4 linked regions of the Diceros bicornis minor genome follow. The protein of the gene in region 4 interacts with the protein of the main gene of each other region in a biochemical or structural test. Links are inferred from orthologs where the notes say so. Each region holds a gene or a part of one and is shown on either strand. Other genes may lie near its edges. The genes, in order: ATP2B4, SCN4A, ACVR2A and ERBIN.

Region 1 (7,819 bases), on a different chromosome or scaffold from region 4:
TTGATTCCTAGGCTCCCCCAAAATGCCACTTCCTTCTCCCAACAAACATTGACCAAGCACCTTATAACATCTCAGGCACTGTGCTAGGTGCTGGGAGTCCCAAGGGTAAGAGAAGCTGTGCTCCTTTGACTTGACTTTGAGTCCAGAAGAGACAGGAGGTGGTGACTGGAAGGGGAAGGGGCTAAGGCTCAGCATGGCCAGAAGCAGGAAACCTCTGCTCCCCAGCTAGGAGCGCCTTCTGCACAGAGCACCCAGATCCAGACTTAGCCGGAGGGTGGAGCCGAGCTGCCACGGTTTGCTGGGTTTGCTGCAGCCCTGATCCAGCCCGCGGCCCTGGGAAGGGCTGCTGCAGAGAGATTCCCCACGGCCCACCTGACTCAAGGCCTCAGGAGCAGAGCCTCCTCTGCTAAATAGGGAAGCCCTCCCCAAACCCACCGGAACCCACCCCTAGTCACAGCACTGAAATACGAAGGCCAGCGGCAGGAATGGTGGGATTACAGGTGTCTAAGATGGGAGGGCGCCGTGATCCCCGGGGTTGTACCTCAGCTAGATGGTGGCAGGGAGGATGGGGCTCCAGAGCAGGGGCAAAGAAATGGATTCCCCTTCCCCCTCCTACAGAACAAGGGCGTGAATCCTATCTTGGGTCCCCTGCCCACTGCAGAGACCTCACTCTCTTCCTGACCAGAATGCAAGGAGGGAGGAGCTAGCTGTCTGTCCCTGGGGTGCAGTCAGATCAATCATCCAGCAACTCAAAATGAAAATTGGTTCCTACTGCTTCCCCAGCCCATTTAAGCTCTCCTCCAAGTCTTTTGCTTCCTTCTTTCCAGTTTCTAAGCTGTCACCTTTACCGCTCCTCCAACCAAACTAGCTGAGGCAGAGGGCAGGTGCTTCCTCTCCCCCAGCCTGACACCCCCCACCCCGCCCTCCCCTACCATCAGTCTGCTTCAGGTCCAGGACCCACCTGCCAGAGCCAGCCCCCATGCCACTACCCCTAGCCAATGAGGGAACTGGGCTCACTAGCCATCAGAGCCACCACCTCTTCCTGCCCTCCTCCTAAACCTTCCCCCATCCTGTGCCTCCTGACCCCTAGGCCCCTCTCTGTGGTCTGTCCCAGCCTAGGTTGACCCTGGTCCCTTCTCTTCCTTCCGTATAAAGAGGGCCCGCAGCTGAGGGGGCTGGAGGGGGCCTCCAAATAGGAAGGGCAAGAAGGGGCAGCTCTGGGGAGGGGCTTAAGGCGGGAGGGGAGGATCTTAAGACTCCCTGCCAGACATCCCACCCAGAGAAGAAGATGGCACTGTAGAAGGGGATTTTACTTCCCCTCCCCTGGTAGAGTCAGTTGAGCGCTCGCCTATTTCTTCATCTGACATCCCCTCTACCAGGCCAGCCGGCGCCGGCATCATGTCTGCAAGTTATTGTAAGTCCGGCAAGAATGCCCAGGAGGGAGGTGCTTCTGGCCAACAGAGTGCCTACTCTCTTCCAGGATGTGCTAGCCACTGCTGTGGCCTCCGCACCCAGCTGGAGAAGAGCTGTAGGTCCTTCAGTGAGATGGAGGAGTGTGTGAGGCTGGACTCGCCTCGGGGAGGATGCCAGCCGGCCTCCTCCACCCTGAGAGCGAGCCAAGTATGTTAGGGAGCGTGAGCATGAAAGGAGATCAGGAGGGACAATCCCAGCCTTAATTTCTAGCTCTTCAGCAAGACAACGCAGGGGCCCAAGATGCTCAGGGACCCTTCCAAGGATGCCTGTGACCAACCCTCAACTGCCAAACACTCCCCAGCCCCAGTCACCAGCCTTGACACTGCAAACTTTCCAACGTCACTCCTTCTCCTTTCTCCCCTCTGGGACCAGAGATGTATGGGGCGGTGCCCTCAGAGACACTCATACAGTTGGCTCTTGATGCTCTGCACACACTCAAACAACAGCGGTTGGAGGGAACTCCCAGCTTTTTCCACAGCTAATTATAGACGTGAAAGTCAGAGGCTGTTTTGCAAGCAGCAGAGAGAAACTGCTGAGGTTTCTCTACAAAGCTAAAGAAATTTAATTTGTACACTCCCCTTCCCCACCCTCCCAACTTCTCCTAGCTCTGCCTCCACCCATCGCCCCCAGTAAGCCCCCTCCCAGTCCCCACTGCAACCCCTCCTCCTTGTTGAAAATTTCTTACCCGGTTCTTTTTTTTTCCCATCTCTCTTTGGGGCTTTCGAGCAAGGGAACAGACGCGGAAAATATTTTTGCAACGGTTTTCCATTCTGTGTCTCATTCCCAAGCCAAGGGGGAGGGGGAGGGCAGGAGCGGATGAGGGGAAACAAATGCTTTTTCCAAAAGCTCAATTTGGGTATGAAAAAAACACTCCACTCCCTCCATTTCCCTACCCCCCACGGCCCAGGTATGACAAAAAGTAGGAAAAGAAAAAGAAATCACTTGTTTGATTATATGATTTCTCAGAACGGAGTCTAGGGAAGAAATACAGAATTTGACAAATCTGTGTGTGCGCGCGCGCGCGCGCGCGCACAACACCCCCCCCCCCAAGCCCAGTCGCAGAATATATGCTAGGAAGAGGAAATTCAAGGAGTTTAAGAAGCCATTGAGAGGAAAGAAATAAAGTTCGCAAATCGCGAGTCAATTCATTCTCTGCAAGCCTACCTCTCTTTCTAGCAAAGATACAGGCTTCTCCAAGCGGGACTCTCCCTCCGGGTTTCCATGGACGGGGTGACGGCTGACACTCCCCGGTCTCCCCGGTGTGGCGACCGCGCTAGGGATGCCGGCTGCGCTCTCCTGCCGGTCCCGCCCCGACGGGGAGCGGGCTAGGTTTCTCCCCGGCCCTCCCCGTGGAAGGACCTCTCAGGTTCCTGGAAGAAAATGGGTGCCGGGGAGCGGGGCGGGTGTCTCCGGTCTCGCTCTCCTGGGAGAGACGCGTCCCCAGGAAGTTCGTGCCCCTCCCTCAACCCCCAGCTTCGGACGGTCTCAGCTGCATCGCTGTCTTAAGAAAATGCTCGTCATGGCAACAGCTCCAGCCAAGTCGGCCGGCCCGGGGCTCACCCGCCTCCCCAGCGAGCGGGAGGAGCGAGGGGAGGGGCGCGCGCCGGAGCAGGGGCGGGGCTTGGCGAGGGGCCAGGTTTTTACTCTACTGTTAAGGTGGCTCGAAGGCGAGCCTTGGCCACTTCCCGGTTTGTGTTAAGGGGGCCTGGGGAAGGCAAGGGAGGAATCTTCTCTGCTCGGTTTCCTCCGCCCTTGATCTCACTGTCGAAGGGAAGGTAGGGTGGGGGGCGGCAGTGGGGAGTGGAAGTGGGTGCGGTATTCAACCGTTGCTGGGGGGAGGGAAAAGGAAGCTTCTGCAGGCAGTTGGCTTCCTGCAGCTCCTACGGCCTCTCAGCCTCTTCTTGCTTAGACCCAGGACCCGGGACCCGAGACAGGAGGTGTCTGCGGACATTGTACATCCCCTCCCAACCTCCGGCCCTGTCTGAACAGGGGGATCCTCGGAAAAGGAGGAGTTGTGTTGCATGCACATACATTTGCACAGCTTTGCTTCTACAGACACCTTAGTACACACCTCCTCCCCCAGATTTCACACACACAACAACGGGCACATTTTGCTCCCTCTTGCCTCTGTACCCACCAGAGGCGCATCCACAGAGCATGATAATAGCTGCCTTCTTTTGAGTCCTACTACGTATAGGCTCTGGCACCAAAAGCTTTATATGCAGTATCATTGCTAGTGCTGTTGGCAGTCTTGAAAAGTGCTTGTTATTATCCTCATTTCAGGGCTGAGGAGATTGAGGACCAGTGACTCACCCAGGCTTACACATCTGGCTGATAACACAGCCAGGATGCACGCCCAAGTAGACTGACTCCAAAGCCGGTGTACATTCCTACACTGGTATCATACTCTGGCACACATTTCCTTTTTAATTTGCACACACTCAGACACCCATTCGCACTTATACACAGCCTATATACTGTTCATCACACCCCCGCAGCCACACACCCACCAGCATTGTGCAACAGTGCCACCCATAGATTTTGCCTAGAACCTTACAGCTTTCAAGTACAGACATGCACCATCAACTGGTTCACACAACACACTGTCATTGACTGATATGTTCTCACACCTCCCTCAGCACACACACTCGCGCTATTCACATGCTGTGGGAGGCAGGTCAACATACACCTCCCAGGTTAGAGTGGTAAACTCTGCTGCGAAGAAGGTGACCGGTCACAACTTCAGGGGTTTGGGAAGAGGCCTCTTTGATCCTCCCATCCTAATCCAACACCTCACACCACACTTGTCCTCCCTGCCCCAGGATGGGGGTTGGGGGGAAGGACCATATATGCACGTGGAGACACAGAGCTGTGAATTAGACCCCTGGGGTCTGGTTTCCCTCTCTCTGTTAGCACGCTTCCCAATTTCCTACCATTTGGGTCCTTTCTGTCCTCTCTTTATTCTCCTGTCCTACTATTTCTCAGTAACTCATCCACATCCTCTTTCTGAGCTAGAGACAGTTAAACAAAAAAGAGTACAGACACTTTTTTAGAGGGGTTGGGCCAGGCTCAGAACTCAGAGTTCTGCCATGTGGTGCTAGGGATTGCCTGCTGCCGTCTGTCTTGGGAACCATTCTGTGCCTCTCCTGACCTGCCCAGACCAGCTGGTGGAAGGTTGCAGAGGTGGGGAGGGGAGTTTAGGATCACCCTCTATGGAAACCGTCCATGGCTGGTTTCCCAAGCAGTCCTTTCTTCCTAGGGCCTGGAGGTCTCACCCTCCTTTCACTGGGAGGACACCAAAGGTGAGATTTGTTCTCTCGCACTCCCTGCTCCTCTCCGGGCTTCCCTGGTTCCTCCTACCCCAACCCCCAGGGCATTTCAGTGGAAGAACTGATGGCAGAGATAGAGATGGTACCTTGTCAGAGTCTGGAAGGTCCTACCAAAATGTTGGCTTCAGGAGCCCAGAGCAATTGTTGGGGCAGACAGAGGAATGAAAGGAAAGGAATCAGCTGAACAGAGCTTCAGATTTAATGGCTTGTCAGTCTCCGTGCAGGATTGCAACAACTTGACATTTTAGTGCCTAGTGAGTGTCAATTGCATCTTTATCATGAGAAAGCCAGTCTCTGAAATGGTGCTTTAAATGTATTAAAGTATATTTTGAGCTTGTCTGCAGTGGCTGTGCTGAAGGCATTGCCTAACTGTTCAGTAAACTTGTCTTGGGGGAGTAAGAATTTAGGCCAGATGTGTGGGCCCAGTAGAGGAGAAGTCTACTTCAGCTGCCTGGCATGTGGGGCCTGGGACGTGATGCCAGCTCAGAGCTGGTTAGTGTTTGAAAGGCAAGATCCTCCCCTCAAGCTCCCTGGGTTCCAGGGAGAGAGGTTTTGCAGGGGAGGTGCTGCCAGAAGAGGCTTTGATGTCTGTCCCACCTCTCGCTGGCCGGATTCATGGGCAGGCCAGGAGGATGACTTCTGTGGTAGCTGGCAAGCAGTTCCTCCCTTGTCTCAGCGTTTAGTGCTCCCCCTGTCCAGGTGGGGCTGTGAGGTGAGAGAAGAGGCTACCCCCACCCCATTCCAACTCCCAGTTCCCATGTAGACAGAAGAGAAGGGTGTGAGAGGTGGCAAGGTGACTCCAGGGGAGGCCACAGCCTGATGTCCGCAGCTGAGCCCGCCACTGAGTGTTTTCTGGAAACGCAGAAGCCTCGGTGCCTTGTTTTCTTCCAGCAGCAGGCTTGAGGTCTAGAAATGATAAAAATAAGTCTACCCATAAAAAGAACCACTAAATGTAAGAAAGTGGAGTTGTGCCCCTTCCCGGCACTGTGTCAGGAGGGAGGGTACTGCCTCCGGCATCAGAAGTTCCTAGTTGGGCTGTTGTGCATGGCTGGCTGCCCTAGCCTGCCATTGCCCCTTTCCTTCCTGTCCCTGCCACCCCTTGACTTCACAGCTTCCCTGCTTCTTTGGTTCTAGCCTGGCTCTCCTCAGCCAGGTGTCATGGCCTTCCCAAAGCAGGACAGCCTCGGCAGGGCTCCCATCACTGTGGACCCTGTCCCCACCCCATCTCTCACTTGAAGAAAATGCAGTCAGCCTTGTCCCTCCCTCAGGTGTTAACAGAATTTCTTTCTCTGGCCTCTTGAGAGCTCCACCTTGAGTTCCCCAAATGGCCCTCGCCGTTTCTGTCCTCCTCCCTAGAATTCAAACTGCGTCTCTCCCTACTATGGACAGCTACTGTTTGTGTGTCTAGAACAGCAACCATCCTCCCACACCTAGACCCAGTTCTTCTTTAAGATGGTCTTCTCCTTATTATTTAGATGGGAACTATCGTTTTATTAGAGGTCCTACCCCTACCTGAGCCATTACATCCTTTCCTGGGATTTTTTAGCTTAAGACCAAAGGGAGAACATGGCTTGCTTCCCCCCAGCAGTGGACATTGTGAAGTATGAGGCTCTGGAAGTATCAGAGACTGTGTTCCCTGCTACATGGAAGAAGCCTGCCAGTAGGAGAGAATAAAGCTTACATGCAGAGAGAGGCAGAGAAGAAGCCTGAAGAGTGAGTCCTGGAAGCATTTGAGTCAACTGTACTCGTACCCTACTGTACCCTTGCTGTTCCTACAAATCAGTTAGTTATGTGACTTATTATGCATGCATAAGCTAAATTAAGTTGTTTTCTGGTCACTTGTACTAAGTAATATAGAAATGTCATATAGAAAGTAATGTAGAAACCCTATGAGCTGGTACCTGCCATTTAGGTACACTCATTTCAGTGAATTTTATTCATTACTGAATACCTACTATTCAATTCAGTATACATTTCTTGAATGTCTACTGTTCCCATATCCCCTGGGCCCAGATGAGTATACAGAGATAATGGTTTAGTGGAGGAAAAAGATATGTTCATAGCATAAATAACCACAATGGAAGGTGTTATGGTATTCTTTCAGACATATTTATTGAGTGCTTACCGTGTGCTAGGTAGTTCCTGTGAAAGGAGGAAGTATGAAAATACTTCTGTGGAGATTCCAGGGAGTGATCACTTCTGACAGGAATGTTCGAAGGCTCTAGAAAAGACGTGGTATTTGGAGGGACGTGGAAATGTTGAAGAGTGATCTTTAAACTGTTTTGGATGCGGGTGAGTGGGGTGAGCTGTGAGGGTGATGATGTGAGAAAGGTAGGAGGTGGGAAGAATAGAGCGAAGGCTAGGACTGTACTGTGGAGGGCCCTGCGTGGCCTTGTGGGGTTTGTGGTCAGCAAGCTGGCTGTGGCAGCAGTGTGTAGGGTAGGTGGCTGGCCCAGTGCAGTGCTGGGCAATTTGGTATAACATAGTTATGTATAACATGGTCCCTGTCTTCTAGAAGCTTCTTATCTAGTTGTGGAGACTCATAAATCAGATAACAACAAAACAAAGTATGTGATTAAGTCTCAAGCTTGGATCCAGATGAAAAATTCATGATAGTCTAGTGAAGGAGAAGCTGAAGGTGAGCAGGAGCTTTTGAGGAAGGCTTCTCAGAGTTGGAGGGACTCCAGCTGGACTTTGAAATTCTTCCCAGTGTCTCTCTTCCCACTCCCCTGCAGAGCAGGTCTGGTGAAGGCTGAAGGCAGGAGAGACAGAGGCATTTATCCAAGCGACATCTGCCCCCATGCCCTTTGTCTGTCCTTGTCATACATAACCAAGGGCAGGGCTACTGAGGGGAGGACACTGGACTAATTTAGCCACCGGCTGGCTCCAAAGGCGGAGGATCAAGCGTGCCAGCTAAGGGACCAGGGTAAGAGTGCTAGACACCCTCAAGGCAGAAGTCCATGGAATTGGCCTGGCCAAGATAACAGGAGATAAAGGAAGGCTGCAATTAGATAAGA
Region 2 (7,838 bases), on a different chromosome or scaffold from region 4:
CAGAAGGCAGGATGCCCAACTGGTGCATCTTTGTGTCCTACTCAGGGCTAACTCAGCTTCTGGCTTATGAACAGAATGGATGGATGGAAGGATAGATAAATGAATGAAATATAGCAGAATTCATTTTATCCCTAGAACAGTCTGTATCCAAGGCCTCATCCACACATTCTTTCAGCAAACACTTATTGAGGATTTGCTGTGTGCTCAGCACTTGGATTGGCCCTGGTGACCTAAACAGACACAGTTCCTGCCCTCTTCGCATTTCAATCTAGTGTAGGAGACAGACAAATGAATTAGGCAAATAGACATGTAATTACTAATTATGACAAATGATGTCAAGGAAAATACAGGGGCCTGCGATAGAGAGTAGGGGAGGATAAAGATAGAGAGTAGGGGAGGATAAAGCCCCTTGGAGAAAGGACATTTGAGCCTAGCTGGGGCAGGGGGGTGGAGGGGGATGGACACGGGATGGGACGGGACAGGATGGGACGCGACAGCCACATGAAGACGGAGGGGAGCACGGAGCCAGGTAAAGGCCTAAAAGCAGGCACAAGCCCAGTGCTCAAGGAGCTGGAAGGAAGCCAGTGGGACTGGGCCAGAGTGGACAGGGAGAAAAGATCAGGAGACAGAGGAGGAAAGTACGTAGGGCTGGATCACCAGGGCCTTGTAGGCCACCATAAGAAGTTTAGGTTTTAGTCTAAGAGCAACGAAAAGTTACTGGAGAAATTTAAGCTGAAGAAACAACATGATTAGTTTCTAATTTTTAAAAGATCGCTGGCTGCTTTATGGGACTTGTTTGGAGGGGGCAGGGCAAAACAGGAAGCAGGAAACAGGCTATTGCAAGAGATTATTGTGGTATGGACCAGAGGAAAAAGGGGAGGTTAGGGAGATTTTGAAGATGGTATTAATAGAACTCCGGATGGGCTGGATGCAGAAGATGAGGATATAGGAGAATCCAAGGAGAGGCCATGATTTCTTTTTTTTTGTGAGGAAGGACAGCCCTGAGCTAACATCCAATGTCAGTCCTCCTCTTTTTTGCTGAGGAAGACTGGCCCTGGGCTAACAGCTGTGCCATTCTTCCTTTACTTTATATGGGACGCTGCCACAGCATGGCTTAACAAGCGGTGCAGCGGTGCACACCCAGGATCTGAACCGGTGAACCCCGAGCCTCTGCAGCGGAGGGCGCGCACTTAACCACTTGCACCACCAGGCTGGCCCCTGACACCACGATTTTTGACTTAAGCAACCAAGTGGATGGTGGTGTCATTTCCTGAGTTGAGGAAGACTGGAGGGGACAGTGGAAGAACACAAATGTTTCATTCCAGATGCTGTCAGTGTGATGCCTGTTAGCTATCCACATGGAGTGGTCCAGTAGGCAGTGGAATATATTGGTCTGGAGTTCAAAGGAGAGGTTTATCGTATTCCTATAATGCTATTTACAGTCATAGGAATGATGCCATCCAGACTCAGACTGAGCCCTAAGAAACTTTAGAGATTGGGTCAAGAAAGAATGACAAGCCAAGGAAGGAGCAGCCAGAGAGGTAGAAGGGAACCCATGGGTGTGCTTTCACGGGGGCTGAGTGAATAGAGCTTTTCCAGAAGGGCACTGTGGCCAACTGGGTTGAATGCTTCTGAGAGGTTGAGAGGGGTGAAGACAGAAACGTGTTCAGAGGACTTGGCAGCAGAGAAGGTGCTAGTGACTTGACAAAAGCCATTTCAGTTGAGTGGGGGTAATGGAAGCCAGGTTGGAATGGGTTGGACAGCAAACGAAAGGTAAGGCAGTAAAGACAGCTAGTGTAGACACTTTCCAAGAAGTTCACCTGTGAAGAGGGACAAAAAATAGGGCAATCGATGAAGGGAGATGTGAGGCCGAGAAGGTAGTTTTTGTCACCACTGCCGTTATTTTTAAGATGGGAGAGCCTGTTCATAGACAGGGAGAGGTTGATGGTGGTAGAGAAAGATGATAACTGGAGAATGAGGTTGTTGGGAAGGCAAGCGGGGTCGGGGCCTGAGCCCAGCAGAAGGCCTGGCCTCTGGTTCTGTACAGCAGGTTGGAGGAAGAAGGAGGCGGGGGCAGTGAAGATAATTCTGTAGATCTGACCGTGTGTAATGACGTGAAGTGGCTTCAGCGTTGGTAAAGAGGGTAGGAGGAGAGGAATTTAGATGAAGTGCAAATTTTGAAGAGAGAGATGAGTCCATTTGGGGCCAGCTGGGGGACAGCAGGAGGAGGTGCCAGCCTGGCTGTGCCATCTGTGGGTCTGCAGCTCAGGGGAGGGCCTGGGCTAGAGAAGAGATGTGGGGACCACGCGGCAGTCTTTAAATAGCCCTGTGCAATGTGCCAGGCACCAGATTCAGTGGTGACCCCCACGTCCCGGGCTGTGAGGAGTCTAGTCGGGGCACAGACACCAGGAGACAATCGCGCAAGCAGAGTATGAATCACTGTTGACCTAAGAGCTTCGAAGGCTGTGGCTGTGCATGAAAGGCAGCCGCGACTTGACTGGTCTGGGGCCATCGGGGAAGTGGGAACAGATGTGGCAAAGCTGTAGGGACCACGGCAAGGAGGTGGGTGGTTGTTGTTTCCACGTCAGAGGAGAAGGACACAAGGGGAGAGGTGCTGATCATCTCTAGATCAGGTCCTAGAGAAGCAGCATCCTCCAAGGGCAGGAAGGAGGACTCACAGAGCAGAAATGGAAAGAGTGGCTAGAGGGGCAGGCCACGTTCTTCTCTCGAGAAGAAAGGCAGTGGCAGTGAGAAATGCTTGAGGGAGGGCCAGGAGGGCCAGCTAAGAAGAAACCACTGGATCTGTCCACTGGGGGCCGCTGGCAACTCCAGGGAGCGCAGTTTCCACGAGTGCTGGGGCGGGAGCAGACTGTTTGTCTCTGGCTTTCTGTGGTCCCACTTGGGCTCCTGTGAAGGAGACAATGGGCATCTCAGGCCAGGGGATTTGCCAAGTGGAGCCTGTGACCTGGAAGGGTGCCCAGCAGATATGGGGTCCCTCCAGGGCCATCTGGCAGGTCAGTGTCTTCTGTATGGAAGTGTACGTGGGATCAGTGATGGGGATGAAGGCAGGAAGGTGTGTGATGAGTGGTAGGGTACAACTGTGGGGTCCGCATGAGGGATGGTTTCAGGCTGGGCATGTGCGTCTGTGTTGTGTAAATGTGTGGGCTCACGCACACACACTCCCACGCATCCTATGGGGCCAATGAGCAGCTGAGGGACGGGGTCAGCAGGAATGAGCAGAGTCATCCCCGTGGAAACACGACTCCCTGGGTGATGGTAGGGAGCAGCTGGGCAGCCAGGCACAGGGGGCGTGGCCAGCTCTGCCCAATGGCTCCAGCCTCTCCCTGGGCCACCCTCCCCACCTGTTGACCAAGCCTGAAGAAGTGCCCGCACTGGCCGGGGCAGGGGTACTGCTTGGGCATCTGGGCCTGCTGTGAGGGGGGCTGCCCTCCAGTGTGGCTCTGGGAGGTCTGTCTGAGCCCCTGTGGTGGAGGAGTGGCTCTGGGTTGTCTGTGTGCGGGACTAGCAGCGGCTGCGTGTGACTGGGCTGCAGCGGTCTCCCTGTGCCTGCCTGCTGATGCGGGTCATTCCCCAGGGCCTTTGCGATGTGACCCTCTACCTCCCTTTCACAGGGAACAGGCTCAGGAGGGCTGGGCAGGAGGGGGAGGGGCCAGGAGAGGCGGAGGGACTAGCCTAGGAGACACAGTCCACACAGTTCTCCCAGGCCTCTAAGGCTCCTGGTGGGTGCCCCTTTATCCACCCAGCTCATGCAGGGACCACCAGCCACAGTCTCTGGGAGCTCTAGCCCTCCCCCCACCATTGAAACTATGCATCTCCTTGTCCCCATGACCTTTCCTGTGTCCTACCTTTCCACGTTAGCATCTGCAGGCTCTCCTGATGTGGACCCACGCATACAACTTGCATCTTCCTGCTCCAGTACCCCCTGCCTGCCCAGTGGGTTAGATTCCACAGGTCCCATGGGTGGGAGCTGCAGGGCCCAGGGCCCTTCCTTCTTCCATCTCCCAGCCCAACATCACGTTTCACCAAAGCTCAGCACAGGGCACACCACACCCCACCTCTTCCTTTCCCCTTCCCTCCAGACCATGGATGGCAAATATAGGCAGATGCACCACATTCTCCTGTCTCATACCCCTGGCAGACATCACTAATCAATCAAAGCAGTCTTTCTGCACTGAATCTGGCTGCAACCTTGATGGTCTATGCCCACATCTCCAGGCCGCCAATAGCAGCCAATGCAAGTTGGCCCATAAGATGAAATCCATTTGCCATTCCTGCTGTAGAGTGATCCCACCAGGCCCCTCATCTTGGCCCATCCTCTGGGCCCACTTGCACATTTCACACCTGACTCCTTTCCACCTCAATGTGGGGAGGAGGCTGTGTGGGCATAGCCAGCTGTGGTTCTTTCTGTCCCCATAGGCTGAAGCCACACGGTTCCCAGAGCTTGAACCCAGGAGGCGGTTGAGGGCACTGGGGCGTTGGCCTCAAGTCTGCAAGGCTGAAGAGGATCTGGCTGGTTTGCTGTCAGTCCTGAGGGCAGCCAACCCCCTGCTGGGGAGAGTGTGGTGCGGGGCTCAGGGGTGATGCTCTTGTGGCCAGCACCTGTGCAGCAGCAGCGCCCGGGCCTTGCAGGCACATCTCCCAATCCGATAGGGCCTGCACGCTGACCACCCCAGCCTGGCCCCTGGGCAGGCAGGAGGTGAGTAGCAGACAGCAGGCCCCAGGGTGGGGTGGCTGCCCAGCACCCCCGGGGCTGTGCACTGCCCCAGCTGCCTGCCACCCTCCTGGCCCCTGAGCCCAGGATGCAAGGATGGCCAACTCGTCTCTGCCCACTGTGGTGCCTCTGGGCCCTGAGAGCCTGCGCCCCTTCACCCGGGAGTCCCTGGCAGCCATAGAACGGCGGGTGGCGGAGGAAGAGGCCCGGCTGCAGCGGAACAAGCAGATGGAGATCGAGGAGACTGAACGGAAGCCGCGCAGTGACCTGGAGGCTGGCAAGAACCTGCCCCTCGTCTATGGGGACCCTCCACCGGAGGTCATCGGCATCCCCCTGGAGGACCTGGACCCCTTCTACAGTGACAAGAAGGTCCGGGTCTGGGGGGTTCCCTCTACCTGTCTGTCCACTGTCCATCTGTCTGCCTGGCCCTAGGCCTCACAGTTCTCTTCCTGCCTCAGACCTTCATCGTGCTCAATAAAGGCAAGGCCATCTTCCGCTTCTCCGCCACGCCCGCTCTCTACCTGCTGAGTCCCTTCAGCATCGTCAGACGCTGCGCCATCAAGGTGCTCATCCACTCATATCCTGCCTGAGTGGAGTGAGCACAGGGGTGGGGAGAGGCAGGGAGGGGTTGGGGGTGGGCAAAATGGGGTACTCTGGGCAAGGAGGCCCTCTGTCCACCTCCCCTCCCCACCTGCTCCCTCACTTTCCTTGACCCCCCCCCCCCAACGCTGTTCAGCATGTTCATCATGATCACCATCTTGACCAACTGCGTGTTCATGACCATGAGCGACCCGCCCCCCTGGTCCAAGCACGTGGAGTAAGTCTCTCCCTCCCCTGAGCCCCCTGGTCCTGGGACACAGCCCATCCCAGGTGTCTGCACTCTGAGGATGCTCTTGCACTCAAGACACTGCTCTTGTCTTCCAGGGAGACACACACTGTCACTGTCACCCCCATTAACACCCAAAGCCCCCGGGGTGGTGTATATTGTCACTCTCACCAATGTCCTCAGCCCTCTGGGTGGCATATTTCATTTCTGCGACCCTCCCTCCTGGGAGGTCCATCATTGCCACCCACCCCCCTGCTTGGGTGTGACATGCCTGGCGCTGGCCGGCCCTCTCCCCGCCAGGTACACCTTCACAGGAATCTACACCTTTGAATCCCTCATCAAGATGCTGGCCCGAGGCTTCTGCATCGATGATTTCACATTCCTCCGGGACCCCTGGAACTGGCTGGACTTCAGCGTCATCATGATGGCGTGAGCAGGGCCCCAGAGGCATCCTGAGGCTGGGAGTCAGGGGTGAGGGGAGGAGGCCAGGCCTCAAAGAGGGCAGCTGAGTGGGCTGACCCTCTGTCTCAGAGGAGTGGACTGCAGGGGCCTCAGGTCAGGTGTGCAGACAGTGAGCTGCACAATTCTAGGAGCTACCCTTCTTAGGGTCTAGCTTGGAGGCTCTCCTGATGCCCCTCCGCATACCATGTACAACCACACACAGCAGCCCTGGGCCCCAGTCCCACAGGCCCTCAGCCACTGGGAGAGCTACCCTCGCCATCCCCACTCCCCAGCAAAGCACCTGCATTGTCTTTCCCAACTCTCAGGCCCCAATAGGAACAATGCGGGCGTCTGACCTGCCCCTCAGCCTCCTTTGGGAACCTCAACTATAAGGATTCCTTGGGGATCCTCATTCTGGGCCTGGAGAAGCCCCTGATTTTTGCCCTATCACCCACCCCCCACTCTGACACAGCCCTTACCCCAAACTGCACCCCCTCTCCAGGTACTTGACGGAGTTTGTGGACTTGGGCAACATCTCAGCCCTGAGGACCTTCCGGGTGCTGCGGGCCCTGAAAACCATCACAGTCATCCCAGGTACCGGGGAGGCGCAGGGACCCTCCACCCAGGTCAGCAGGCCTTCCCCCGTGCTCAGTCTGGAACCTGACACTCAAGTTCCAGGAGCCTGACTGGGGTCACAACACTCCCAGGCTCTGTTTGTGTAGGACCCACACCAAAGCCTGGACACAGAGGGGCCCCATGGCCACAGAGGGGAAGGGGCCCCAGGTGGGAGCATGGGTGTGTGAGAGGCAGCATAGCAAGATGGTTAGAGCACAGACTCTGGAGCCAGACTGCCTGGGTTCAATTCACACTCCATCACTTCCTAACTTTGACCTTGGGCAAGTGGCTTAACCTGTCTATGCCTCAGTTTCCTCATCTGTAAAATGTGGATAATAATGGTACCACTCATTGGGTTGTTATGAGGATTAAATCCCTTAATATCAATAAGGTGCCTAGAATAGTGCCTGGTGCATGGTATGTGAGTTAAATAAAATAAGCAGACTGGGCAGAGCAGAGACTCCACCTGAGAGAGACACAAAGGGAACCAGTGATGGAACGTGCCAGCCCTGAGGGCTCAATAAGGAACACGCCGCATACCCACTGAGCAACGAGGCTGGGGCAATCCCAAAGTAATGCATCAAGAAGCATGAAATAAATGGAATTTGGCTCATCCAGACCCTCGGAAAAGCATGTGGAGAAACTGGAAGTGGCTCATTACAGGAGAGAAAGATGATCTGAAAAGGGATGGAGAACAGGCTCTGGGAGGACGAGAAAGTTGTTCCATCTTCATGCTAGAAAGTCCCTTAGTTCTCTTCTAGTCCAAAGCCCTCATATTGCAGCTGAGAAAGGAGACCCCAAGAGACCCGAGAGGGCAGTGCTTACTGAAGGCCACACTGCCCTTTGGCCACTGCATCAAGGCCAAAACACCTTTCCTTGATGCCACGCTTCCAGCATCCTCAGAGCTTGAGAGAGTTTATAAGGAGGCTGCTGAGCATCTGTTTCCCATATCAAGATAAGAAAAGAAAATGAATTAATATTGAAGTAAGAGACACTATGATTAAGCCCAAGGAAGAAGTTATAGCTCTTCTATAAACGATGGGAATCCATCCCTGGAATTCCAGAGTCATTTATGCCTTTGTCCGTCCAAAGGGGCAGAAGGCAATGACATTGCAGTCAGTCTAGAGCTCCTCAGAGTGAACCCTGCTGTTCCTCGGGTGTTAACAGGCATGACAAGAAAAAGGGGTCTGTGGTCAGATAAGTTAAGGAACCATGGTATTAAAG
Region 3 (7,988 bases), on a different chromosome or scaffold from region 4:
CATAGTCTGGGGCCCATATTCCTCTCTTCCTATTCATACCTCTCTCTTCATTGCCGTGGGAGCCTCCTTTTAATTTCTTGAACATACCGTAGGCTTTGTACATACTGTTCCTTCTTAACTAGCTCCTTTCACGACTATCTATCTCCTTTTCATCTTGTAGGTTTCAGTTTAAATGTCACTTCCTTAGTAAGTCCTTCTCGAATCATTCTCTCTAAATAGGTCCGCTCTTCCTATTCAATCCCACCACTCTTATTCTTTATCTCAGCATCCCGTCTGCTTTTATAAATAATCCCTCCCATTAGACAATTACTTATTTACTCGTTATTTTTCTGTCTTCCTCATGACACTGTAAGCTCAACGAGGGCAGAGACTGTACCCATTTCATTTATCACTATACTACCAACACCTAACACAAATCCTGTAGCTAATAATTACTTGTTGAATAAATGAATATCACAGATAAATATGTACAATGTAATGAAAATTATTGATTCTTATGCAGTCTTGCATTATAGAAATTTTAGGACTATAGCATCAAAGTTTCATTCAAGATTTTAAGCATTTGTCAAAATGGATGGAGGGCATTATTTTTGAGAAAGAGTCTTGGGTAATACGGCCTGTTCTCTACTCCAGTGCCTCACAAATTATCTATGGTGAATTTCCAATCTATAAGACTTTTGTAAAATACAATAAAATTGAACTACTAAAAACACAAAATAAAGACAAGAACAAACAAAATATAAGCCCAATTATTTTTATTAGCTTCAACAGACATAAAACTATTCTGTCAAGTTTCTACAAAACTTTTTAAACAGTTGTCAATGTCTATACTAATCTCATTGAAGATCAGTAACAAATGGTTGGAGACCAACACTGGTTTGAGAACTACACTTTGAGTAGTGTTTACTCCAACTTAAATGACTTAGATCATTGGGATCGGTTAGATAGTGTATCTCAAAGTCTCAACTATTCTTTCTACTAGAAAGAGAACTATTCTTTCTAGTAGAAAGAATAGTTGAAAACTATTAGAAATAAAATAGAAAACTAAGAAATAAAAGTTATAAAATTTAGAAATAAAATAGTTATAAAACTATTAGATGGCCCGCCCTGTGGCTTAGCGGTTAAGTGAGTGCGCTCCGCTACTGGTGGCCCCGGGTTCAGATCCCGGGTGCGCACCGAGGCACCGCTTCTCCGGCCATGCTGAGGCCGCATCCCACATACAGCAACTAGAAGGATGTGCAACTATGACGTACAACTATCTACTGGGACTTTGGGGAAAAAAAAAAAAGGAGGAGGACTGGCAATAGATGTTAGCTCAGAGCCGGTCTTCCTCAGCAAAAAGAGGAGGATTAGCATGGATGGTAGCTCAGGGCTGATCTTCCTCACACACACACAAAAAAGTATTTTAAAAAACTATTAGAAATTAAATAGTTAGAAAACTAAGCCCCTGAGATCATGAATATAAATTGGAGGGTGGGAAAAAACTTTCCCTAAATTAAGCCTGTTCTTTTTGTTTCCCACACATTTACTGGATTTAGAAAGAGGTGATATGGGAGAAAAAGTCAAATATTACCCTTGGGATGTTACAGAGAAACCAATTGGTTGTTGAGATTTATATTACTAGCTGGGTTAGTGTAGCCTTTTTATCAAACTTGATTACATTGGATACATTATAAAATTACACTGGATACATTATTTCCATCATAGCTAGTTTCTCTTAACTCACTTTTCTGTCCTAAAATATTCTGCCTTTGTGTTTTGTCCCTCATCCATTCCCACATCCTTATTTTTCTCAGTATGTGTCTTTTTTACCCCATTGGCACAGTGCAATGCTATGGCTGGACCTAAATAAAAAAGAGAAGAATAACAGGACCAAAAGCTAGGATATAGGGAGTTTTCCCCCGACCTTGAGCATCTACGGAGAGGAATACAAGGAAGATATGCTGATTATTATCTGCCTTCCTTTGACTTACTGAGGTACCAAGTTTATTCCCCATGTATTATGCCTTACAGCATTGGTATAAAAGAAATTCATTACTTGTGCCACTTCAGGAATGCCCATGTTATCTGAACACAGGAGTAGACTTTTACAGTAACTAGAAAACAGTAGAAATACTTTTAAATCCTTCATCTAAGGGGAATTCAACATCCCTCATACTCCAAACGGATTTAGTCATCTTCCTGATGATGAGGAAGAGAGATCTGGCATGTCTTGCTTATATGTGGCTATTGGTATGTCCAAAGGCAGGTCTATACCTTAAGGTGAATTTCCTCACAATATATGGCATACCACCCAATCTCAAATGCAAGTTCAATTCCAGCCCAGTTCAAATACAGTCCCACTTCAGAGTTGAACATTTAAACTTAGTCCATACCGTTTTGAGCCAAATGAGTTTTTCTAGCATAAAAAGAAATCATCCCTTATTCTAGAAGCTGTGTATGGCACTCATTTACGTCTGTCTCCTCATCCAGCCAACGCACACCCGAATCTCTAGATTGAACTGGCTTCTCAAGACTCTTGCAGCTGGGAATAACTTGCAGTTCAGTTGAACTTATTGTCAGGACTCTGTACTTGAAATTCTAGCATTGGAGTGGCTACAAGGCCGCAGGTTTTGGGATTGAGAGATGTTAGCTAAAGCTGTTTAATGCATAATTGTCTAATGCTCTGGCAGACGAGAATTCTTTTCAGTTTTCCTTTTCTTTTCCTCTCCTTCCTCATCTTCCTTCCCAATCCCAGTTTGTACAGCTTACACTGTGTTAGGGAGGTGTTGGATTTGTAGATAAGCAAAAGCGATTCTAGAAAATAGAAAGGAAAGAGGGGCAGTAGGGTTAGCTGCAGCTACCTCTATCTCCTTTTTAAGCTTTGGAATTCCAATGGGAATTAGTCACATACTCTCATGTCTTATTACGTTGAATCACTTTTGAATTTTTTAAAAAAATGCAGAGGGTGGACGTGAACACAGATTTAGGCACAAAATAGGTAACTACTGTCACTGGATGTAAATAACTTTTCCCATGGGGTTATTTTAACTCTTCATTAGAGAAGACTAGTCTAGTGAAGACTTTGACTTGTTGCTCATCTTTCATACTACAAAAAAATAATTTTCATCTTCTGTTACGTTCTTATACTGGAAATTCAGGTGGTAAGATAAGAAATATATTTTCACGTTTTAATCCTATTACTGGTTATTCCAGTTTTTCCACTTGCTCTGGTTTCACAATTCAAGAAATATTGAAGTGATGCAGAGATAAGACAACAGTGGGGCCTGATCCAGGGTATAACTGACATCAAATTTCTGAATGAACTAAATGAAATACACTTCCATTCCAGAAACGTTAGTGACAACTCTCAGTCAACCAGAGAACCCAAGGAGGTTTATATCTATTCCTCTGATTAGCTCATAAAATAGTTCCAGAGAACTACATAATATGAGGTCCTTTAGACACCTAGAAGACCAACTTGGGACTTTTCCTAACTGTTGCACAATATCAGTCAAATTCTGAGAACCACCACTTGAGAACTGGAAATCTTGGAGAGAGTTTAAAGAGCCACAATGATTGTTAATAACCTTGACAGGTTGTAGAAATGGGCAGATAATTACAGGATGAACTTAATAGACAGAAATACAGAGTAATTTAGAGGAAGAGAAAAGTGAAACACTAAATACAAGGGAGGCGGCTTGGCTTTGTGGGAAAAATGTGGGAATCAGTAAACCACAAGTAAAACATGAATTTGCCATGCAGTGCAGTTGCTTTATCATTATCTTTATTAAAAAAAACCCAAAAATTTGTAGAGTACATGTGAGAATATTGCATTTAAGAAGGCAGTTATCCCCTAGTCATTTATACAATTCTTTATTAAGCACCTATCATATGCTGGACACTCTGAGCGCTGGCATAAAATGGGGAAGACGACATAAGATCCCTACCTTCACGGAGCTCGCTCAAGTGTGGTAAATGACAAAGCTAGCATCTTTAATACTGCCTTTAGTTCGTATTTCGCAGCAACTTCGAGTACGTATAGCAAGTACTGTGAGCACCTTGAGGTAGGGATCCTATTTTTACATTTTGGATCCCATTCCGTGGCTAGCACAACACCCTGTAAGCAATCAAGTTGGATTAAGGGGTAAAAATAAGCCCTAAAAGAACTAAAATTTGAAAAAGTAAACACTTGTCTGACCACCAAATATGTCGATCGAAATCCGCACGTTTTCTCTTCAGCTCGTAATAAATATTTGCGAACCTATTACATGCAGAGCAGTTCTCAACACAATGCTTTGTGTATACAAGGGATGGTGGGAAGGGATTCAAACTGCACATCGTGGTAATTGCCGTGGATATCCTGGGCGGGTGGACAGCCCATCCTCCGCGAGTTTTTTTCCTTTCTTTTTTCTCTTTTAGCCGAAAGACAAAACCCTTAAGCAGAAACCACGGGGGTGGGATGCACCGCAGGACTCGGGGCACAGACCCAGCTCGCGCGCACCGAGCTCGCTCGGACAGCTCGGCAGGCGTGGCGGACCCGCTCCCACACGCAGCTTCGCGGCGCCCGGAGTCTCCGAGCGGACGAGGCGTCCCCCCAGAGGAAAGACGGGGCGCCGCAGACGCCCCCCGGAGGAGTCACCGGCCCCAGCCCCGCCTCTGGTCCTGTTCCTCTCGGGCTTCCCGGACCAGTCGGGCGTGCGCTCCAGAGAGGCCAGTGGGGCACCATCAGGACACCAGCCACGCTGGCCCCCCGCAGCATCCACCCGCCCACCCTCTCGAGCCCCACAGCCCAGCAGGCCGAGCAGGCCGGACGCCGAGGCCTCGCGGTATCGAGCCACCGTCCGCCCCGCCTCCTCGCCTTCCAGCTGGCCCCGCCCTCGCTCTCTCACCCTCCCCCGCTCCCGCCTCGCTTCCCCGACAATCTCTTCGCGCTCCCGGCCCGGCACGCGCGCTGCGACCGGCAGCCGCCGCCGCCGCCGCCGCCGCCGCCGCCGCCGCGGAGCGTTCCTCCGCCGTGCCTGGCTTCCAGCTTCGGGCCGGAACCGGAAGTTTAGGGGGCGTGGCCGACTGAGGCCCGGGGACCGAAAACGCGGCCGAGCCCTGAGCCCGGAGCCGGAGCCAGAGCCTGGACCAGAACTTGGCCGCCGCCTGCACAGCCGCCGCAGCCCGCCGCCCGCCGCTCCTGCCCCGCGCCGCCGCCGCTGCCTCGGCCGCCACCGCCGCGAGCTCGGCCGCCAGTGGTCCGCGGACTTTGGGTGTCCGGGTTGAAGGTCGGTCCGGACGTCGGACCCAGCTCGGTTCCCGGACTGTCCGGGCGGCAGCGGACGCCGCCGCCGCCGCCTCCTTGTCGCCTCAGCCTGGCGTTTTGTTCCCAGAGCCCGGAGAGGCGAGCGGCGCTGACAGTGATTTTGACAGTGATTTAAACCTGCTTTTGTTGTTGTTGGCTTTTCGTTGTTTGGTTTTGTGTGTTGTGCGTGTGTGTGGCGGTTTTTCCCCCGTGGTGCATTTTTTTTTTTATATTATTATTGTGCCTTTTTTTATTTTTCCTCTTTTTTTAACCCCGTGAACGTTTTTTTTGGTCGGGGCTTCCGAGTATGTTTTATGACGGTTGATTTTACACCAGGAGGTTTGTCTCCGAGGAAGACCCAGGGAACTGGATATCTAGCGAGAACTTCCTACGGATCCCCGGCGCCTCGGGAACATGGGAGCTGCTGCGAAGTTGGCGTTTGCCGTCTTTCTTATCTCTTGCTCTTCAGGTAGGTGCAGGCAGCGCGGCGGGGCTGCTGCTGCTCCTGCGGCCGCTGCTGCCGCTGCTGGCGGCCGCGGTTGTTGTTGGGTCGGCGAGCTCCGGGGGAGCCTGGGGAGGTTCCCCCCCACCCCGAGCCCCGCGGCTGCCACCCCCCGGGTCTGATTGGGATCTGGAAGCCTCCATGAATTTTTCTCGTTTTGAGTCAGGTTGGCGAGCTGATAAGAGCGACTGCTCTGTTGTTGTGGAAGTGAGAAAGTCATGGTTTGTGGCCATAACACTGGATGACAGCGCTGGTTGGGTTGCAATTAAGCCGCAGATACCACAAGTGACAATTTGTGCGAAGGTTTGAGACCTGAAAGACGTATTCCAAAATGTCATTGAGTGTGGCATCCTCTAAAATTAAAGGTGTTTTTAAAAATCGTGTTGTAATGAGCGCTTCATCGGTGGCTATCACGACAGAGATCAAGTCAGTTGCTACTTAATTTTGACCGTGAGAAACAATGCATCATATCAGCAATTTCATCTGGGTCTCCCCTCACGTTTTCTTCAAGTGCAGTGTCCAGCAGTGTTAAAAATAGTTGTTGTTGTTGTTGGAGTATTAACTATAACCCAGTGCAGAAGAGGTATGCCGCTGTGTGTCGGTAATGTGCTGGCTTTCAACCACCATTTATGTGCTCTTTTCTGGCATAGATTTTGCTTACCTACGGAATACTTATTTTAAACGCGTTGTATCGAAGCATTGTTTTCGGTTTAGAACAGCCCATTTGAGATTGTTGGTACTGTCAAATAGCCTATAGTCATAAGATCGGTTTTGGTCCAAGGTTGGAAGAATAATCTGGCCCTTTTACATTTGAAATTTTGATTTTGTGAGAACGTTCTGTGGTTGCAACCAGTGGTTGGAAAACTATCTAGTCTTTTGTATTTGAAATTCTATAAATGAATACAGCATCTAGCTCAAAGGTGTGCAGATGTACGTAACAGGAGAGTGAGTTAGATGAAACAGTTTAAAGTCACAATGAATTTATTTATCATAAAATTCAATATTCGGTGACTAGGTTGTGAGAGAGAATTGTCAGGGGGGAAAACGAATTGACAGGTTTCATGGCCATGTCTTTATCTCATTTGCCACAGGGAAATTAGAGGGTGGTAGTCTTTTCTTTGTGTACCTCTGTGGTGTGTGTGTGTGTGTGTGTGTGTCGGTGTCCCCGTCCTCCCTACCGCCCTTTTTTAAAGAATCTTTTGTGATGTATAGAATTTTGCTGAATGGTACATTTCCTTGTGGTTAATAAATGGATAAAGTCTAGTCTTATGTCTGTAGTGGTATTGATCAGTTCCGGGTGGGCTGAATATGTTGTGAAATGGCGATCATTGCCAGAGATTAACCAAAAGAATCATGTCTGTTTAAATGGAAGAAGGAACATGCTTAAGGCAGGCTGACAGTTCTTTTTGTGCAAGGTTTGGGGAGGAAGATAAACAATGGTGTCTCTGAAATGAATGAATACCTTGATGGCATTAAACCTCTTGCTTTTGTGACATGACTTAACCATGTAGCTTTTATTTTTCCCATAGTACTCTTTCTCCTCTGCCCCTGTATGTTCTGGTTGGTGAACTCCTCTTGTTCAAATCCCTTTTTCTGATCTCCTGCCCTTGAGGAGGAGGGGCATCATGGCCACTGACCAAGGAATTGTGGATATTATTCCCTTCCAGACCCACCTGAGTCACGCTAATTGGTGAAGCAGGTTATTCTTGAGCAGTCTCAAGGTATTACTTCTGGAAAAGCAGGCTGTCGCTACACATCTTATAGCTCTCTCTGCTTGGTTTGGGAGTGAAAAGAATAGAGCATTAGCTTCTTCTAGGATTATTTTCACTGGGCCAGGAGGTTAATAGCTAAAATTATGAAATAAAGTAATTTTGTTGCTATAGAGGGTATAGATGTTCCACTTACATTAAACTAATATTAAATATTATTGCATAGTTTTTTTACATAAACATTCCTAGTTGAACTAAAATATAATTCTATTGAAGATAATTGAAATAATCTTAAAGACTTTAATCCATATTTATACATGAAGATTTTTAGTACTTAAAATGTCTGATTTTTTAAAAGAGCTTTTGTTATGAATCAAATGCACTCTAAAAAAGGATGATTATGTTTCTTTTCCTAAATGATTTTTCTATGTAATATGTAATCTGGCATGCGGGAAGAGTAAGGATGGCTATTTTTATGAAGATTTGAAAATTTCTCAAGTTGTCAGTT
Region 4 (7,759 bases):
TTCATTAAGAAACAACATGCAATAAAAATTTGGTTTCCATATTTGAACCTTGGTAAGCTTTTCAGATGTGAAAAGTTTGCAATAGCTTGTTCTCAAACAGCAGGCTGACTTCATAACGTAATATCTGAATTAATTAGTTAAGAATCAAGTTTATCACTATTGAAAACTCCTAAGTACCTTCAATAAACAGTAGCATTAGATGTGCATTTGTGCAATATAAGCAAACACTTTGAAGTACTCTATATTTGCCAATCTAATCTAAGAAAACCCACACAATACTAAGAAGAATATACAAAATTTGAAGCCATTTAAAAATATTTTAACTGATTATTGTTTTTTTAACTTCTTTTCAAACCACTGTCACATTTTAAACAAGGCTTTAAAAATATTTATAGTTTGACAATAGTATAAAGCCTAAAATTCATGAAGTTAATTCAGTGCTAAACTAACAAAAATTGTAAGTAAACCACAAAGTAAATTTTGCCTTGTGGAGGGGAAAAAAGGAATCAAAGACAACTACAAAGGTGAACATCTCACTTTTAAAAACGTGTGGTCTACATCTAAACATACTATTGCTCCCTAAAGAAAAACAACGATCAAGAACTATATCTAAAAACAGGAATTTAAGAAGTTATTTTCAAATGCTACAATATTTCTTACACATAAAATTTACTAATGCAGAGAAATATCTGCTCAAAATGATAATTCTCTATAAAAGACTTGTTCTGTTAAGGCTTTGTTGCTCTGAGGCCAAGTATAAGCCATATAAGGGAACTGAAGTTCAGTGCCATTTATTTTGTTCCGCTCTTTCAGATGCCCAAGAATAACCTCCTTCGCTGCCTAATGATACGTTCCAAAATCAAAAAGTAGATCAGTTATTTACTTTAAATTCCTTGATAAAGCAGCTTTGACTTAACAGGAATTACCTGATGGTTCACAAATCTTACCAACGAATTTTTTTTTAAAAAAAAAAAGGATCTCCAGAGACTAGGCTCTGGGGAAAATATCAAAACAATATATAGTAATAAATAGTTAAAAGAGTCTCATTTTGAAATATACTTAATAAAGTAACAAAAACCAAGTTGTGAAATAATTTGATCTCTTTAAAACCTACCTTTTCTCTTCTTTGGACTAAAGAAAGCCAACTATTTTTCTTGGGGTAGCATGGGCAAACTAAACATCAATTTATATTTTAGATATACCTACAATGGAACACCATATTTATCTAATATTTATGCAAAAGCACAGTATTGTCTTTCACCTCCCTTTACCAGAAAAGTACTGGAAAAACAAAAAAACTTAAAAAAGATACACACTAAAAGGCCACTGAAGAAACCGTTTTGTGTTTGCTGCGACCAAAACTAGTTTGATCTATAAAGACTACCGATTGGTTCAGTAGTGTTTATAACTCTGCCTGGTGGAATGTCTCTCACGCATCACTAATCCCTGCCTCTACATCAGGTACCTATCACTTATTAGGCAGAACCAGCCAAAACATTTGGGCCAACACAAAAATGTAAATACTGTACTATTCAAAAAGCACAGCTCTTTATCACAATGTGATTTCCAAGAAAATCGTTTGAAGCATTTTACTTCCTTTCCTATATATTCTGATCTGAACTGCAGAGACGTCCTAACAAATCAAACGACTTATAGCTGTTTTTTGTTTTTTAATTGTAACTATCCACAACACTTACGCTCTCCTTCTTCCTACTAGGTCAGCTACAAAAAACTCTAGCAGACCCTTGCTTTCAATTAATTAACCATACAAGTATTATAAGGTTCTAAGCGTCTGAAAGGAACAAGTTACTGAAGAAATATATTACCCACCTAGAAAAATGACTCAGAATGGCAAAGGTTTTTGTTTATAAATTCAACGAAATATATTTCTAAGTGTTGGAACTACAAAATCTCTATATACGACTGAACGCAAAAGCCTAATAAATGGGTAACAGTATAAACAAATGTGGCAGCCATCTCAACAACAGCAAACCACTCGCTGCAGCGACCTTTCTTCTAAAACCAAAGTTGCCGGTTCAGCAACTTAACAAATAAAAAATATACACTGTATATGTTCCGGGAAACTAAAACTTCTGGACCTTGCGCTGAACAAAGGCATTCTTTCTTCAGATTGCTTAAAACTTTTCATCCCACCGCATTCTTTCAACCTCTTCTAAAATAACCAGAGTCCTGATGGTAGAAGGGGGAAAACAAATCAGTTCTACCATTTAGCACCTAAAACACTATCCCGTTCGACATGAGCAAAGGTGAATTCAGGGACACTTGGGAAAAAGTGAAACACACTCAACTATCCTCTCTTTCCTGGCCCAGGAGCTTTGTGACTTCTAGACACTTTTCGTGGAAATTACCTTTCGGTCGGGCAGTGTCTCAGGGCAGCTTTTTCAACGCTTCGCCTGACATGATTTCCTTCCCTTCATTAGTCACTTCGGATCCAGCCGAATTTCTCTCTCCGGTAAGAGCGGATGTGGAGCGGCCTCCCGCAAGAGGAAGAGTAGGTTGCTTTGGTGGGGGCTGGGAAGCGGGCTGGTTTCCTGGTCTCGAGTTTTGCAGGAGTTTCCCAGCCCCAACTAAGATCTCCGCCGAAAAAAAAACTTTTCACTCGTGACACCGCCCGGAATTACCGTGCGAAACTCACTTCCTGCCCTGGCGAGAAGCAGGATCCAGCTCGGTCCAGGGCAACCCGGAAAACCAGCTCCGCGCGCTGGAGGGGGAGGGGACGGGAGGGGAGGGGGCGCCGGCGGAGCCTCGGGCTCCGGGAGGCCGGCGCGCCCCGCACGCCCGACGGCGGCGGAACCCGGCCGGCGGGCGCGAAGACGCGGCCGCGCGCTGGGCGAGCCTCGGCCGCGCTAGGCCGCCACCGCCCCCCGAGCCGGGCAGCGCGGTTATTGTCTCGATAGCGCCTGCCGCGCCCTTCGCCCGCGCCGCCGCCGCCGCCGCCGCCGCCGCGGCCCCGAGCTGCAGCCGAGGGGCCGAACAGCCTCGAGGGCGGCCCCCTCCCCGGGCCGTCCGTCGGGCCGTCCGTCCTTCCGTCCGTCCCTCCCGCCTTCCCTACCCGCCCTCGACCCCTCTTCTGCTTCCTCTCCCGTTTTCCCGCCGCCGTCCCTTCGCTCCCCTCCTCGTTCTTCTTCCCCCTCCGGGCGGCGGAGGCTCCCCCGGGCAGCGCGGGGGGTGCGCGCCGGCGGCGGCTTCGTCTCCTCAGGAGCTCGCGGGGCCGCGGCAGGGGCCGAGGCTGCGTCCCGCGCCGCCGCGCCACATTCACTCGAGCGCGAGACGGAGAGGGGAGGGAGGGCGCGCAGAGAAAGGAGGAGGAAGGGGGCTGGGGCGGAGGGGAGGCACTGCCTCACAGGCCGCGGCGGCAACAGCGCCACCGCCCCGCCGGCGAGGGGGGAAGAGGCTGCGCGCGGCGGCTCCGCGGCGGGGGCGGGGCGGCCTCCCGCCGGCTTCACCCCCCCGCCCACAGCCGGGGGAGGCCGGCGCGAGCCAGTCACCGCGCACGGGGCGGCGCGGGCCGACGTCGGCGGCGCTGGGCCGGGGGCTGGCGGGAGGGGCCGGCGGCGGCCGGGGGCTCGCGTGCGAGGCGCGGCGTGAGGCCCGCTCCGGCCCAGGCCGGGGAAGGCCCGCCTGCCGCCCCCAGCCCACTCCCCAGCCGCCTAAGGTGGGCGCGCTGACGACGCTGACCCCGGCTGCCCCGCGCCCAGCCCGGTAGCGGGCCTCCGGCGCCCCGGCCGATTGAGTGTCTTTGTACGACAGTGATCGGCGCGAGGGGTTCAAGTCCAGCCCCGATTTTCAGGCTGCAGGTATCTCTTTCAACTGCAGCACTCCAACTTCCTCTAAAGGCACGCTCAGTTTGCAGGAAACCACAGCGGCAGCTCAGGGGAGCTTCCCACGCCGGCCCTTGCTCCGAGCCTGCTCGCACAGCAGCGCAGCTGGGGCTCCTCCAAGTCTCAGCCCCACACCGGCGGGGAGACAAAGCTGGCGCTGGGAGGGGGAAAAGGGCCCGCGAAATTGCCTCAAGGTGGTGCCTTTGTTAGAGGAAACATTGTATACGCTCCGAAAGCGACAGAGGCTTCCAACCCCAGCGGTTTCGGTGCACCAGTCGGTGAATTGCGCTGGCCCTAATCTATCAGCCTGGCAGGGTTTGCGTTTACTGCGGAGAGAGATTCTTAAGCATTCTGTCAACACGTGACATAGAACGCCTCAACCATAACATTGCACAGTTTGTGCAGTTACTGCTTTAAATATGTTGACAGACAAGACGGCCTTGTTTCACCCGGAGAAGGAACTTAATAGATACGGAACGAACCATTCCCCGCCCCCAGTCTGTGCTGTACTTAACCGTGTACAGTGATGGTAATTAGTCTCTGTGTCCCTGAAGTCACTGCTTCAGTTCTTCCGTCTGTGTTCCAGAGATAATTATTTATTAGCAAGTTTGAATAAAGAGCTGTATGCCCTACAGATGATTTTTGGCTTGCATCCAAAGGAAGGAGTTCGTGAAGTCCATCAAAGAATTATTTACCAAAGTGAGTTGTATGCTAGTGACAAACGCTTGAAACAACTCCAAAGATATTCAAGACGTTCTGTTAGGGGTAGGAGCGTTTTAACTACTTCCAGAACTGCTAGAATAAACACAGGTAGTTCCTTAGCTTAGAGCAGAAGTTGAAGGTTCACAGACACTACCAAAGTGGTCAGGCTTATTTAGTGCTGAACTGGAGGTAAGAGAACATTAAAGCAGGAAACAGCAGCCAGGTCTACTAGTAAGTATAAGCTATTTTTAATTGTCACAAGAAAGATTTCCTACTCCACTTTCGAAAACTGGTTTGAGTCTGACCAGACTCCTTGGTATAGCTCTGAACTGCAAGGGTCACTCTCCTAAAGCAGCCCAGCATGGAGTATCTCCCATACCAGCCAGAGGCCAGCTGTAGACCAGCTGGATTCTAGGATTCCAATGTCACATTTAGTCTCAGGTTGATTCAAGACCCGTTTAAATGTGACATCATAGAATCAAGTAAATGTAATGTCCCCACACCACCCGCAAACCTAAATAAATAGGACTAGACCAGTCCCTAGGCTAGAACCTGCCCTGGCCCTAGCCTTTATTTTGACTTAAACTCATACTGGGGACCAATCTGGCTGACTACCATTTAGGCTACAAAAGTCCCTATGACCAAAAACCCCTCCTCCAACTCGCCTAAATTTTGCCACTAGCATTTAATTCCTTTGAGTAGTTTATTTCTCTAGCATAATCCTGGGAAAGGTACTCTTTTAAGCCTTATTAGTCTTTTATACCTAATTCATCAGATTGTTTCCCCAAAGCAGCTTTTGATGGGAGGGAATATAGAGATAGCATATGCTGATGCTGAGAAGGTAGGAGTGGGAAATGTGATTTCATTCTTCGGGGGAATATATGGAGAGTAGAGAAGTATAGACAATAAAGTGCTCCCTATTCGACTGTTAAATAAGTCCTACTTACTCATACTGTAAGAATGAACCCCAAAACGCTGGCCTTAAGAGGATGGAAGCCAGGATACACTTACCAATATTACCTATTTTGACAAATGTTTCTTTAATAATCCTTCTGTAAAGTATCTTCAGCAGGGATTCTGCATCTGTGCTCATGCGAGGGTGAAATGACAACTATATGATCAGAGTATTCAACAATCAGAATAATGATTCATCTTTGTTATTCATTGCTGACTGCTTGGTTCTAACTCATATGAGCAGCACATACAGATATAGCCAAATCTTCCGTTTGTTCTTTTACAAGGCACTCGTGTTCCGTGCTTTACAAATTAGTTTCCTTTGAAAATCCTTCCACAGTTGAACTAAGATGGACTTAATGTTTCAATTATGATTAAAGGGAGAAGTAAAACCCCACTTTAAATGAGGCTGCCTAACTGTAATTCTGTAATGATTAATGAACTCCAGGACCACCTTAGAGAATAAGCTAAAAAATAGTTGTTGATAGTATAACTTGATATTCCCCATTGTGATTCTCTAAATAATTGTCCGTGAAAGACAGGGAATTCTTTCTTTGGGATTCTCCCTTCTCATGGCTGGGCTCAGGAAAGGAATTACTGTCTGCTAGAGATAAGCCACATATCTGAAGGAAAGCCTTAAGACCTTAAGCGTTCCAGGGAATGCACACAGCATCCATCAAAAAAAAGTGTCTCAACAGAGAGCCTATCCACTGTTTTAAAAAGGGTTCCCTGTCATTTCCCCATGCCAGCCAAGCAGCTGTGCGCAAGCATTTGTGACCAAGTTAGCAGAGGGCAAGGAAAAGTTTAGGGTGATCATTCTTTTCTCCCTTTCTCAACACCTAGTAAAGAATTGGTGACCTTGAACCAAAGCTTTTATCACAGTAGTATTTGAGAAAAATTAATCTTCAGGCTAGAATAGAGTTAGATTCAAAAAAAGTCTAGAAGCATTAGATCAATTAGATCAAAATGCATTATAACATATATTTTTAATAGGGATTGACTTCCCTATTTTCACTTCCATCTTAGCCCGTTGATAGTGAGGGCAGGAGGTTAGGGTGGCAAGTGTGTGGGAAACGGACATTTGGGCTCAAAAGAGGCAGTAACATGCAGGAACCAAAACTAAAGATTTTATAATACTTTGGGAATGGAAACATCCCTCCCATAGCATGTTTCTGCCTTTCAGACATATTTTCAGTAATATTTTATCAATCACAGGGAAGTCTCCCTCTATTTGTGAAAAGCTTTATGAAAAGTTTTGAAGTTTTTTTTCCCCTAGTATATCCTTGATAATCTTTTTTCCTATCCATACATTTCGTAGCCTATCCAAATTAAATTTCTTTCAGATGTCTTATGAACATTTTTAAAGTGTGGAGGAAATGAATAATGCGTGGTGATTATTTGTGTGACCTCTGAAACAAGACTGCTTGAATTAGAAACTTGGCTACTGAATGACCTTGGGCAAGTTCCTGAACATCTATAAACGTAAACTTGAGCTTCCTCATCTCCAGAACGGGGACTACAATACTAACTGCCTCATAGATTACTGGGAGGACCACATGGGACAGTGCTCACAAAGTGCTTAGCACAGTTTCTGGCAGACTCAAAAGTGTTAGCTGTTAGTAGTGATGCACTTTTAGATGCACTGATAACATGTAACATGCTTCCATCATTTCTAAGGTGACCGTATAGTGTATCATCCAGGCTAGAACACTTTTGAGAGTGAAAGCAGACATTTAATAATAATTACACAGGGACAACAAATGTAAAACCAGGACTGCGCTGAGCCAACAGGGGCAAATAGTCACCTTCATAGTTTCCAACTTTATCACCTTCTTCTGATCCACTTCCCCTCTCAAATTTTCCCTGGTGTGAATCATAATCTATTTCAATCATATTGCAATATGCACACTTCTCTCTAAATCTTAACAATATTAAATTAACAGCAACAACAAAAGATTAAATACTGTGGCTTAATGCTCCTTAATGCAGGCTTTCACTTAAGAATATTATCTTTCTTTGAGTAACAAAACTGCTGTTTTCCTACTCACTTAAGCTCACACTTAATAACTTTACATTTTTTTCTATAGTATTTTGTTTTAAAAAACTGTTTAGCATCAAATATGCCATAAAAATAGCGGATATGTAAGTATTAAGCATAATTTGAGGTGTAGCAAGAGGCTAAATGCCCTGCTCTAAAACGCCAACTATGTTACATAAAAACTTTTTTTAGTTAAGTAGCATATCACTCCTATTCCAAAGTA

Evidence for each region.
Region 1: the proteins of ERBIN (region 4) and ATP2B4 interact in a test that uses a peptide from one of them, tested with the Homo sapiens proteins (2 studies listed by BioGRID and IntAct). The link is inferred for Diceros bicornis minor from reciprocal best matches to the Homo sapiens genes ERBIN and ATP2B4.
Region 2: the proteins of ERBIN (region 4) and SCN4A interact in a test that uses a peptide from one of them, tested with the Homo sapiens proteins (2 studies listed by BioGRID and IntAct). The link is inferred for Diceros bicornis minor from reciprocal best matches to the Homo sapiens genes ERBIN and SCN4A.
Region 3: the proteins of ERBIN (region 4) and ACVR2A interact in a test that uses a peptide from one of them, tested with the Homo sapiens proteins (2 studies listed by BioGRID and IntAct). The link is inferred for Diceros bicornis minor from reciprocal best matches to the Homo sapiens genes ERBIN and ACVR2A.

Annotation. Positions count from the first base shown.
Region 1 is NC_080743.1:101,988,974-101,996,792, forward strand, and holds the start of ATP2B4 (plasma membrane calcium-transporting ATPase 4), read right to left. Parts: upstream 3,015-7,819; 5' UTR 2,638-3,014; intron 1-2,637. UniProt on the Homo sapiens protein: Calcium/calmodulin-regulated and magnesium-dependent enzyme that catalyzes the hydrolysis of ATP coupled with the transport of calcium out of the cell. By regulating sperm cell calcium homeostasis, may play a role in sperm motility.
Region 2 is NC_080757.1:46,737,536-46,745,373, reverse strand, and holds the start of SCN4A (sodium channel protein type 4 subunit alpha), read left to right. Parts: upstream 1-4,828; coding exon 4,829-5,101; intron 5,102-5,190; coding exon 5,191-5,309; intron 5,310-5,459; coding exon 5,460-5,549; intron 5,550-5,858; coding exon 5,859-5,987; intron 5,988-6,501; coding exon 6,502-6,593; intron 6,594-7,838. UniProt on the Homo sapiens protein: Pore-forming subunit of Nav1.4, a voltage-gated sodium (Nav) channel that directly mediates the depolarizing phase of action potentials in excitable membranes.
Region 3 is NC_080749.1:32,217,942-32,225,929, forward strand, and holds the start of ACVR2A (activin receptor type-2A), read left to right. Parts: upstream 1-4,978; 5' UTR 4,979-5,683; coding exon 5,684-5,738; intron 5,739-7,988. UniProt on the Homo sapiens protein: On ligand binding, forms a receptor complex consisting of two type II and two type I transmembrane serine/threonine kinases.
Region 4 is NC_080759.1:11,090,237-11,097,995, forward strand, and holds the start of ERBIN (erbin), read right to left. Parts: upstream 3,016-7,759; 5' UTR 2,370-3,015; intron 1-2,369. UniProt on the Homo sapiens protein: Acts as an adapter for the receptor ERBB2, in epithelia. By binding the unphosphorylated 'Tyr-1248' of receptor ERBB2, it may contribute to stabilize this unphosphorylated state.